Oryctolagus cuniculus: one gene and its partner. The protein of the gene in region 1 purifies or fractionates together with the protein of each later gene. This does not show direct contact. Links are inferred from orthologs where the notes say so. Each region holds a gene or a part of one and is shown on either strand. Other genes may lie near its edges.

Evidence for each region.
Region 2: the proteins of UBR2 (region 1) and UBE2B purify together in Homo sapiens (affinity purification with western blotting; 3 studies listed by BioGRID, with this or other methods). This does not show direct contact. The link is inferred for Oryctolagus cuniculus from reciprocal best matches to the Homo sapiens genes UBR2 and UBE2B.

Annotation. Positions count from the first base shown.
Region 1 is NC_091436.1:127,283,237-127,287,044, forward strand, and holds part of UBR2 (E3 ubiquitin-protein ligase UBR2), read right to left. Parts: intron 2,089-3,808; coding exon 1,988-2,088; intron 716-1,987; coding exon 637-715; intron 1-636. UniProt on the Homo sapiens protein: E3 ubiquitin-protein ligase which is a component of the N-end rule pathway.
Region 2 is NC_091437.1:22,633,030-22,637,368, forward strand, and holds the start of UBE2B (ubiquitin-conjugating enzyme E2 B), read left to right. Parts: upstream 1-1,446; 5' UTR 1,447-1,449; coding exon 1,450-1,493; intron 1,494-1,516; exon of another isoform or gene 1,517-2,072; intron 2,073-3,307; coding exon 3,308-3,388; intron 3,389-4,339. UniProt on the Homo sapiens protein: E2 ubiquitin-conjugating enzyme that accepts ubiquitin from the ubiquitin-activating enzyme E1 and transfers it to a E3 ubiquitin-protein ligase. In vitro catalyzes 'Lys-11'-, as well as 'Lys-48'- and 'Lys-63'-linked polyubiquitination.

The DNA of each region.
Region 1 (3,808 bases):
AGGTCCAGGCAAAAGCTCAGAATCAGAAACTCAATCCAGGTTTCCTATGAGGGTGGCAGGCACCACAGGCACCCAATTACTTGAGCCATCACTGCAGCCTCCCAGGATCTGCAGTAGCAGGAAGCTGGAGTCAGCAGCCAGAGCTGGACATTGACTCCAGGCACCTTGATATACGATGTAAATGTATTAAGCAATGACTTAACCACTATGCCAAACGCCCACCCCAATACTTCGGTTTTGATCCTGGGTTACCAAGAGGCTGGTGGGGCCATAAATAGAACTACGGAAGTCAGAAGGAAGCACAAGACTTGGTAGGGAAGCTGAGTGTTTTGGATTTCCATGTCCTGATGAATTACTAAGGACAGCCAGATAAAGAGACACAGTAGGGGATCAGCAATGTAGACTAGGAGAGGGTAGTTAACAGTTAAACAGGCAACATGGTTTTTCGACTTAAAAAAATACATACACACATATTTCAACAAATATCATCATGTAATGCTTAAACTTCAGAATTTAAGATTAGTTCTTATAACAATTTTGCTCCCTAGCTTACCAAATCACTTTCTTACTAACTGTTGATACTAAATTTTCATTTAAAATAGGCCAAATTTAAAAGGAATAAAAGAATATACTCACTTAGGTTGAAAATCAGGCCTGAACCCTTCAGGTAGCTGTAATTCATTCACCTTTTCTACATTCTTTGAAGAGGCGGTATCTACAGAAATAGGCATTTTTTTAACCATTATTCAACAAATCACAATGTCTCTATAAATTTCTGCCATATAGGTCATAGAAATAGATATAAAAAAAAAGGATGAAAATAAAAAATTTCCACAAACAGAAACCTGCATAGCATCCATGTAAAGCATGGACTACAGGCACTGCAGGCAGCAGCTTTGCCCACTACGCCACAGTGCCTGCATCCCATATGGGTGCCAGTTTGAGACCCAGATGCTCCACTTCCGATCCAGCTCTGCCGTGGCCTGGGAAAACAGTAGAAGATAGCCCAAGTCCTTGGGCCCTTGCACCCATGTGGGAGACCCAAAGGAAGCTCCTGGCTCCTGGCTTCAGATCGGTGCAGCTCTGGCCGTTGCGGCCAACTCGGGAGTAAACCAGTGGATGGAAGACCTCTCTCTCTCTCTCTCTCTCTCTCTCTCTCTCTGCCTCTCCTTTTCTCTCTGTGTAATTGTGACTTTCAAATAAAATAAATAAATCTTAAAAAAGAAAAAAAAAAAAGCATGAACCACTGTCGTGGTTGACCAAGGCATTTTCTTCAGTTCCCTGCGGGCAGTATGGGGTGCAAGAAGCCTCTGATTCGGCTCACAGTCGAGCAAGTCACATGGCAGAACCAGAGCCAGCTCTTCAGCACTCAGCTACATCTTCCACACCCCCAGAAGGTTTTCAATAAAATGAGGGACTAAGTGAGGAGTACTTACTATAAACTTCACATGAGCTTATAAGTTTTCAAGGAATGAAGAATAATGTAACAAAGCAAAATTTAGCTTATAAAGAGAACTGGAATGAGTCAAACCATTCAACGGGAGGTTTCAATTTTAAATATTTCAAAAGAAAAAGATTTTATCTATTGGAAAGGCAGAGTGACAAAGTGACAGAGAGAGAGATCCATCTTCCAACTGCTGGAAGGGAGTTAAACAAGCAACATGGTGACAGCAATAGCTAGGCTGGGCCAGGTCAAAGCAAGGAGCCCAGAACTCCAACTGGGTCTTCCCCACGGGTGACAGAGGCTCAAGCATTTGGGCCATCTTCCTCTGCCTTCCTAGGCACATTAGCAGGCAGCTGGACTAGAAGTAGAGTAGCCAGCACTCAAACTGGCACTCTGATTTAGGATGCTGGCATCCCAAGCAGTGGCTTAAAATGCTGTACCACAATGCTAATCCCTCACTTTTAGATACTTTTTAAACAGTATTTTCTGGAAACACATTTCTAAGGATCTCAGACTGCAAGGAAACATGAAAACAGAACTTACCAGAAGCACTTCCTGCTTTCCTAAGAGCTTGTAATGCTTTTATTTGCTGAGATACTGTTCTGATCCATTGGGACAGATTTGGTTGGTCTGAAAAATTTAACCTAGAAAAGATGACAGAACATTTAGCACTTCACTGTTGTTGCTTAGTTTAAGATATAAAAAATTTCTTAAATGATCACAGGCACACAGATATGATTTAGATATAATTCCAATATTGAGGAGAAAAACAGCCAGGGGAAAATTTAGAAAAGAAACCAGAATAGATATAGGCCAATGGAAATAAAAATATATTATTTGTTAAGTGATGCTAATGACATTGTTAAAAATTTCACTCAGTTTTTCAGAACTGGAATTTAATAGACTTTCTTAAATACCACAACTACCGGTGCTACTAATACATATTAAGTGCTGATGATATGAGAAGCATGCAGTAAAGCATGTTGCTGTGCACCTCTTACAGTACTAGATTTAATCCTCAAAATACTCCTATTAAGCAGGTTATTTTACTGTCCCCACTTACAGATGAGGAAACTGAAGTTTGAAGCTTTGTAACTCAACTAAGGCCATGATAAGGGATAGAGCTGTCATTCAAATTCAGTTCAGTCAGACTCCAAAGCCTGTCTTTTTATGACAGTATTCCATTATGACCGTGCCATGGCCGACTCTCAAGGGAGAAAAACAAAATCTGAACCACAAAAGTGACAGGTGAAACCCTCAACCAACAATGACTAATTTCTTTACCAGCTCAAGTGCAGGTAAGCACCAAGCTGTTCTTTCACAATGAAAAAGCATAAACTTACATTCAAATCTACTATTTAAAGAACATTTTGCGGTAGAACAGACTAAAACACCAAAGCTTGACCCTCCAAACTGAAGAGAGAAATTTACTTTTAAGTTTTATGTATTTGAAAGAGTGACAGACATGGGGACAGAGATCTTTCATCCCCTGGTTCATTCTCCAAATGCCTGCAACAGCTGGGACTGGGCCAGGCAGAAGCCAGGAGTCCAGAGTCTGTCTGAGTCTCCTTTGTGGGCGGCAGAAACCCAAGTACTTGGGTGATCATCTTCTGCCTCCCAGGCAAATATATAGGAGGCCGGAGAGGAAGTGGAAGCAGGACTTGACCCCAGGAACTCAGATACAGGATGTGGTATCCCAAGCACTGATTTACCCAGTTGCACAATGGCTGCCCCTGATGTTACTTTGAATTGAATAAAAGTAACAGTACCGAAATAGATGATTTATATTCTTAAATTAGTATTTGTGCTTGTAAGAAGGATATCATAATTCCAAACTGAGAAATAACATTCAGATTTGAATGGTAGATAGTATATAATTTATATTTGGAATGAATATATTCAATATTCTTATTAACTAAAAGTATCTTAAAAATGGTGAAACTACAGGAATTTTCCATTTTAAATACACCAACAGATTTTCATGTTTTAGTCTTCTTCCTAAAGCTACTACTGACCCAAAAATTGCCAAACATTGAATTCAGTTGTTAGACTGGTCAGCAAGGTCAGGCGGCACTGCCCTTTTCTGCTTAGTGGGTATCCCTTAGAGATAATGAGGGCCATACTTAAAACAGGCTCCCTAGAAGTAAAGAGAGTTTTCATGAATACACAGGAATATTCCAACTTCCTGAGTATGGTATTGGCCTGTTCCTATCTGAAAACCGAAATCACATTACTATAGGTCTGCCAGAAGAAATGACTAAGTAAAAAGTTTGAAAAGTATCTGGGAAACACTATGCAATTACCTCAACTTATTATTTCGTTATCTTCATAGCAAATTACTGCTTCATTACGAGGCAATATGGG
Region 2 (4,339 bases), on another chromosome or scaffold:
GAATTCAGGGCTTGAAAAAAGATTGTGATCAGGAAAATGGGAAAGTTAACCCTTTCTGGTTCCATGGAACTGTGGGCAATTTCTGTGCGAAATTAGGTGGTTCTCATCCTACCCTCCTTCTCCTTGTAGAACTGAATTCCTCCATAGGGAAGGGCTCAGAGCCCTCCAGACCAACAAAATCCTCAGGACAGAAACGGAGGCTACAGGGAGGGGGAATTTAGCACCTGAAGGAATGTTCAGGGTCCCCATAGTCCACACCTGTGAGGAGGTGGCACTTGCGCCCATTCGCACCCTACTTGCGAATGCAGAGAAATCTAAAATGAGTTATCTGGGGCTGGCTATATAGCTCCCACGTGCCTCCACGATGCCTTCCTCCAGATCTGAGTCCTTTTGTAGATTTCGTTGACAACCAACCACTCCTGATCTGCTCACGCGGGTGCACCCCCATTTTCTAACAAATCCAAAGAGCAGGCAAATCCGTCGTTATCTTAGAATGAACACAGACCCATTAAAAACTTATTTCCATGGGGCCTTTTTAACTCTTCTGTCTTCACCTAGAAGTAGCAACCTTGGGAACCCCACTGCAAGGCGGGAACAGACATCCGGCAGCCGTGGGGAAACATTTCGGGGCTTTTACTTTGCGTTGTGCTCCCTAGAAGGTGACAGCCTTTCGGTTTTCCCTCCTGCCCCACGGAGCAAAGTTGATAAGCCAATGAGGGATAACAATGAAGTCCTGAGTTACTTGTGGTTCCGTTTTTTAAACTTTGGAATCAATCTATCGTTCCAGCACGACTCCGGCTGTAAGGTCCCGGTATCTGGGACAGACGCGAGGAACAACTAATGAAGACATACCCCGCCCTCCGCTTCCCAGACCCGGCCGAGCAGGTCCAGGGGACGCGCTCACGTGACCCGTTCTAAAGCGTCACAGGGACACGTGGTTCTAGATACTTCGTCCCCTCCCCCTCAGGGGTGGATTGTTGACAACGCCGGCGGCGGCCACGTGACCTTACGTCATCCCTCCTCCTTTCCCCGAAATCTCTGGCCCCGGATGCGGTCCCTCTCTCCCCACCCCGCCGAACCTAAGTTCGTGACGAGGGGGGAAGACAAAGTAGTATTTCCGTTTCTGTGTCGCTTAACCCACCACCTCTGCTCTGAGCACGGAGAACACTAATTTGTCGATCCGTAACAGAAGGCGGAATGGGAGCGATCGCAGCCGGCGGGCTGCAGGAAGCGGCGCCGGCCCGCTCCTCCGCCCGGCTCCCCCTGCTGCCATGGTAGCGGCGGAGGGCGGAGGGATCTGGAGGCGGCGGAGGGAGACGTCATTGCGGGGTTGTTTGTGCAGTCTCGGCGGCGGCGGTGACCCACAGTGATTCGGCCGCCGCGCCGGGGGGTGGGGGGGCTGCGCGGGACTCTTTTTCTTTCAGATTGACCGCGGGGCAGCTGGGGAGCATGTCGACCCCGGCGCGGAGGAGGCTCATGCGGGATTTCAAGCGGTAAGGGCCTCCTCCCGCCCCCCGATGGCGGCTCCTTCCTGAAGCTGTGGGGCTGCAGGGCGGGATCCCGGACACCTTCCCCTGTTGCCTGTAAAGGCGCCGGCTGTGGGCCCGGCGGGACCTACGGAAGCCCGGTGCTGGCCTCGCCAACCTCTCTGAGGACTCAGAAATTCCGCTGCGACCCCTCCCATCCCCCGAAAGTGGAGAGGTGGCGATCGGCCGGCCTGGGGCGCCCTGCACCGCGCGGCGCCCCCTCTCTCTGGCCCAGAAGCGAGCTCTTGAAGGAGCTTGCTCCTCGCCCGCTGCAGCGGTCAGCTTTGTTCCGCGCCCGGGGGACGGGGTTGGGGCCCGGAGCCCCCTCCCCCCCGTTCCTTTGCGCCCCGCGGGGAGGGTGGGGTGTGCCGCGCGAGGTCGGGAGGTGGTTACCCCATCCCCGAAACCCGACTCTGCCCCCGCCGCCTGCCAGGACCTTGAGAGCTGGCGTCGGAGCGGGGCTCGGGCCGCTGAGCGCAGCCCTATCTATAGCCCGCCGGCCCTGGCGCGCGTCCGAGCCCCGCCGAGCCTCCCTTTGTGACTGAGGTGTGGGGGTTGTGGGGAGGAAACTGCCCCTTTTTTGGTTTGTTTGGTTGCCTTGTGCGGGCTACTCGGAGCTCAGAGAAGCAGTGAGAGAGAACTTAGCGGAGGTTTTCTGGGGGTAGACTTGCCTTAATGGGGACTTGGTAGGTGGTATCAAAACTTGGATTTGCCGCTCAAGAAGTAACCTCTCAACTTGGCCATTGTAAAGGCTTATGTAAGGCATTTGGGAGCCATTGTTTGCGCTTTGGCCACCGTGTTAGTTCACTCGTGGCTTCTCGAGCGATTTACAAGGAGGTGTCCAGCTCCTCGGGCTTCCGGTCAGGAGGCCTGGTTTGCCCGATGTTAACTGAAAACCGTGTTTACGTGGCTCACTGCAAAGCACTGTGTGCAAATGAGTGCCTCTGTATTTGTGCCTTAATGTAGTAGTTTTAGTGTGGGGACAGTCTGGAACAGACCTCTGGGGTAGAAATCTTACATCTGAAGCTTAGAATCAGGAACGTTGCATTCGTTCCCATGACTGAAATTCAAGAGGCGAGACTGGCAGCCGGTGCCATTGTTGCCCAGTTCCTGCGGCGAGTGTTTACTGCTGGGGGGAACACATGGCAGGCAGCCTGGTGCTCCTCCAGGGGTCTTCAGAGGAGGAGGTTTCGGTCTTGCTGCCTCATGAGCGCAGCGCCATCAGAGGCAGCCTGCTGGGCAACCCAGCTGCGGGTCACTCCGAAAAGCCGCTGCCCAGCGAAGCACAGGGGATGCAGAAATCCAGACCCTGATGAACCTGAACCCAGGTGCTTTCGGCCCTCACTGTCTGCACTGAGGTTTGCCCTGCAAAGCCCCTTTTTTGCAACCATGTTGCACAAGCAGCTGTAGTTTGGATTCGCACAGTCTGCCTGCTTGGAGCAGCACCATCAATGGTTCCGGGGAAATATTTTTTTTGCCCTTGAGGTTTTACAGCTGTGGGGCAAGAAGGCAGCCTGTGTACGGGCGTTTTTGAAGAGATGTTTTACTCTTGTAGTAGCTCGAGAGGGATGACTCCCAGGTCGTGAGAGGTATTTATGAGTGCGTTAGAATATCCCTGGTGATGTATTTAAGTCATGTGAGTCACTGCAGCCCGGTGCAACAACAAGGAAATGGGTATGGTTTCTGTCTCCGCATAGCTGGTACAGAGGCCATAAGTGTTCTTTTTGGCCTCCTTCGTGGCTCTAATGCTCGCTTTTAAACCGACCACTCTGGATTTCCAGACTGCAGGAGGACCCACCTGTGGGTGTCAGCGGCGCACCGTCGGAAAACAACATCATGCAGTGGAATGCGGTTATATTTGGGTGAGTTGAAAGATTTCAGTTAAGAAAAACTTGAACATTTTGGTAGTCATACCAAGCTTATTTGCTCTTTGGTGGTGTTTCACATATGGTTTAATACTCAATTTTTTACTTGTTAATATAGTAGTTGAGGGCCGGCACCGCGGCTCAATAGGCTAATCCTCCGCCTGTGGCGCCAGCACACCGGGTTCTAGTCCCGGTCGGGGCGCCAGATTCTGTCCCGGTTGCCCCTCTTCCAGGCCAGCTCTCTGCTGTGGCCCAGGAAGGCAGTGGAGGATGGCCCAGGTGCTTGGGCCCTGCACCCCATGGGGAGACCAGGAGAAGTACCTGGCTCCTGCCATCGGATCAGCGCAGTGCGCCGGCCGCAGCACGCCAGCCATGGCAGCCATTGGAGGGTGAACCAATGGCAAAGGAAGACCTTTCTCTCTGTCTCTCTCTCTCACTGTCCACTCTGCCTGTCAAAAAAAAAAAAAAAGTCTTGAAGTCTTGATACCAAGAATATGAGAACTTTGTGACACGACTTGCAGTGAGAATGTTTCACATCTCAGTGTCCCAGTGTGAGATGCCTGGAGCCCTGGGAGAAGCAGCCTTCGATGGGATACTGAGGCTGTTGAGTGTGACCTTTTCTGTGCTGCCACGCTGGTTTTCCTGGACTTGCTCTCTTTTCTTTCATTCTTCTTAAGCTAGCGTTTTGCACTAATATTTGAATATCTGAAATAGTTTCATAAACAACTTGGAGTTGTCAGACTCCATTGTGAGTCTGCATATAATGACCAGTAGAGAAGCAGCAAAGGTCACCGTGCACAGTAAAATGGTTCTGTCACAGTCAGGCTGTTCCCTTGCTGGAGGTCCTGGCTGTGCCCTGCCAGCAGTAATTGCTTTTCCCACTGCTGCTTAGGAAACCTGCGACTGGGGTGTGGCGGCCGGGAGGTGATCTGCGCGAGCGAGCATCCC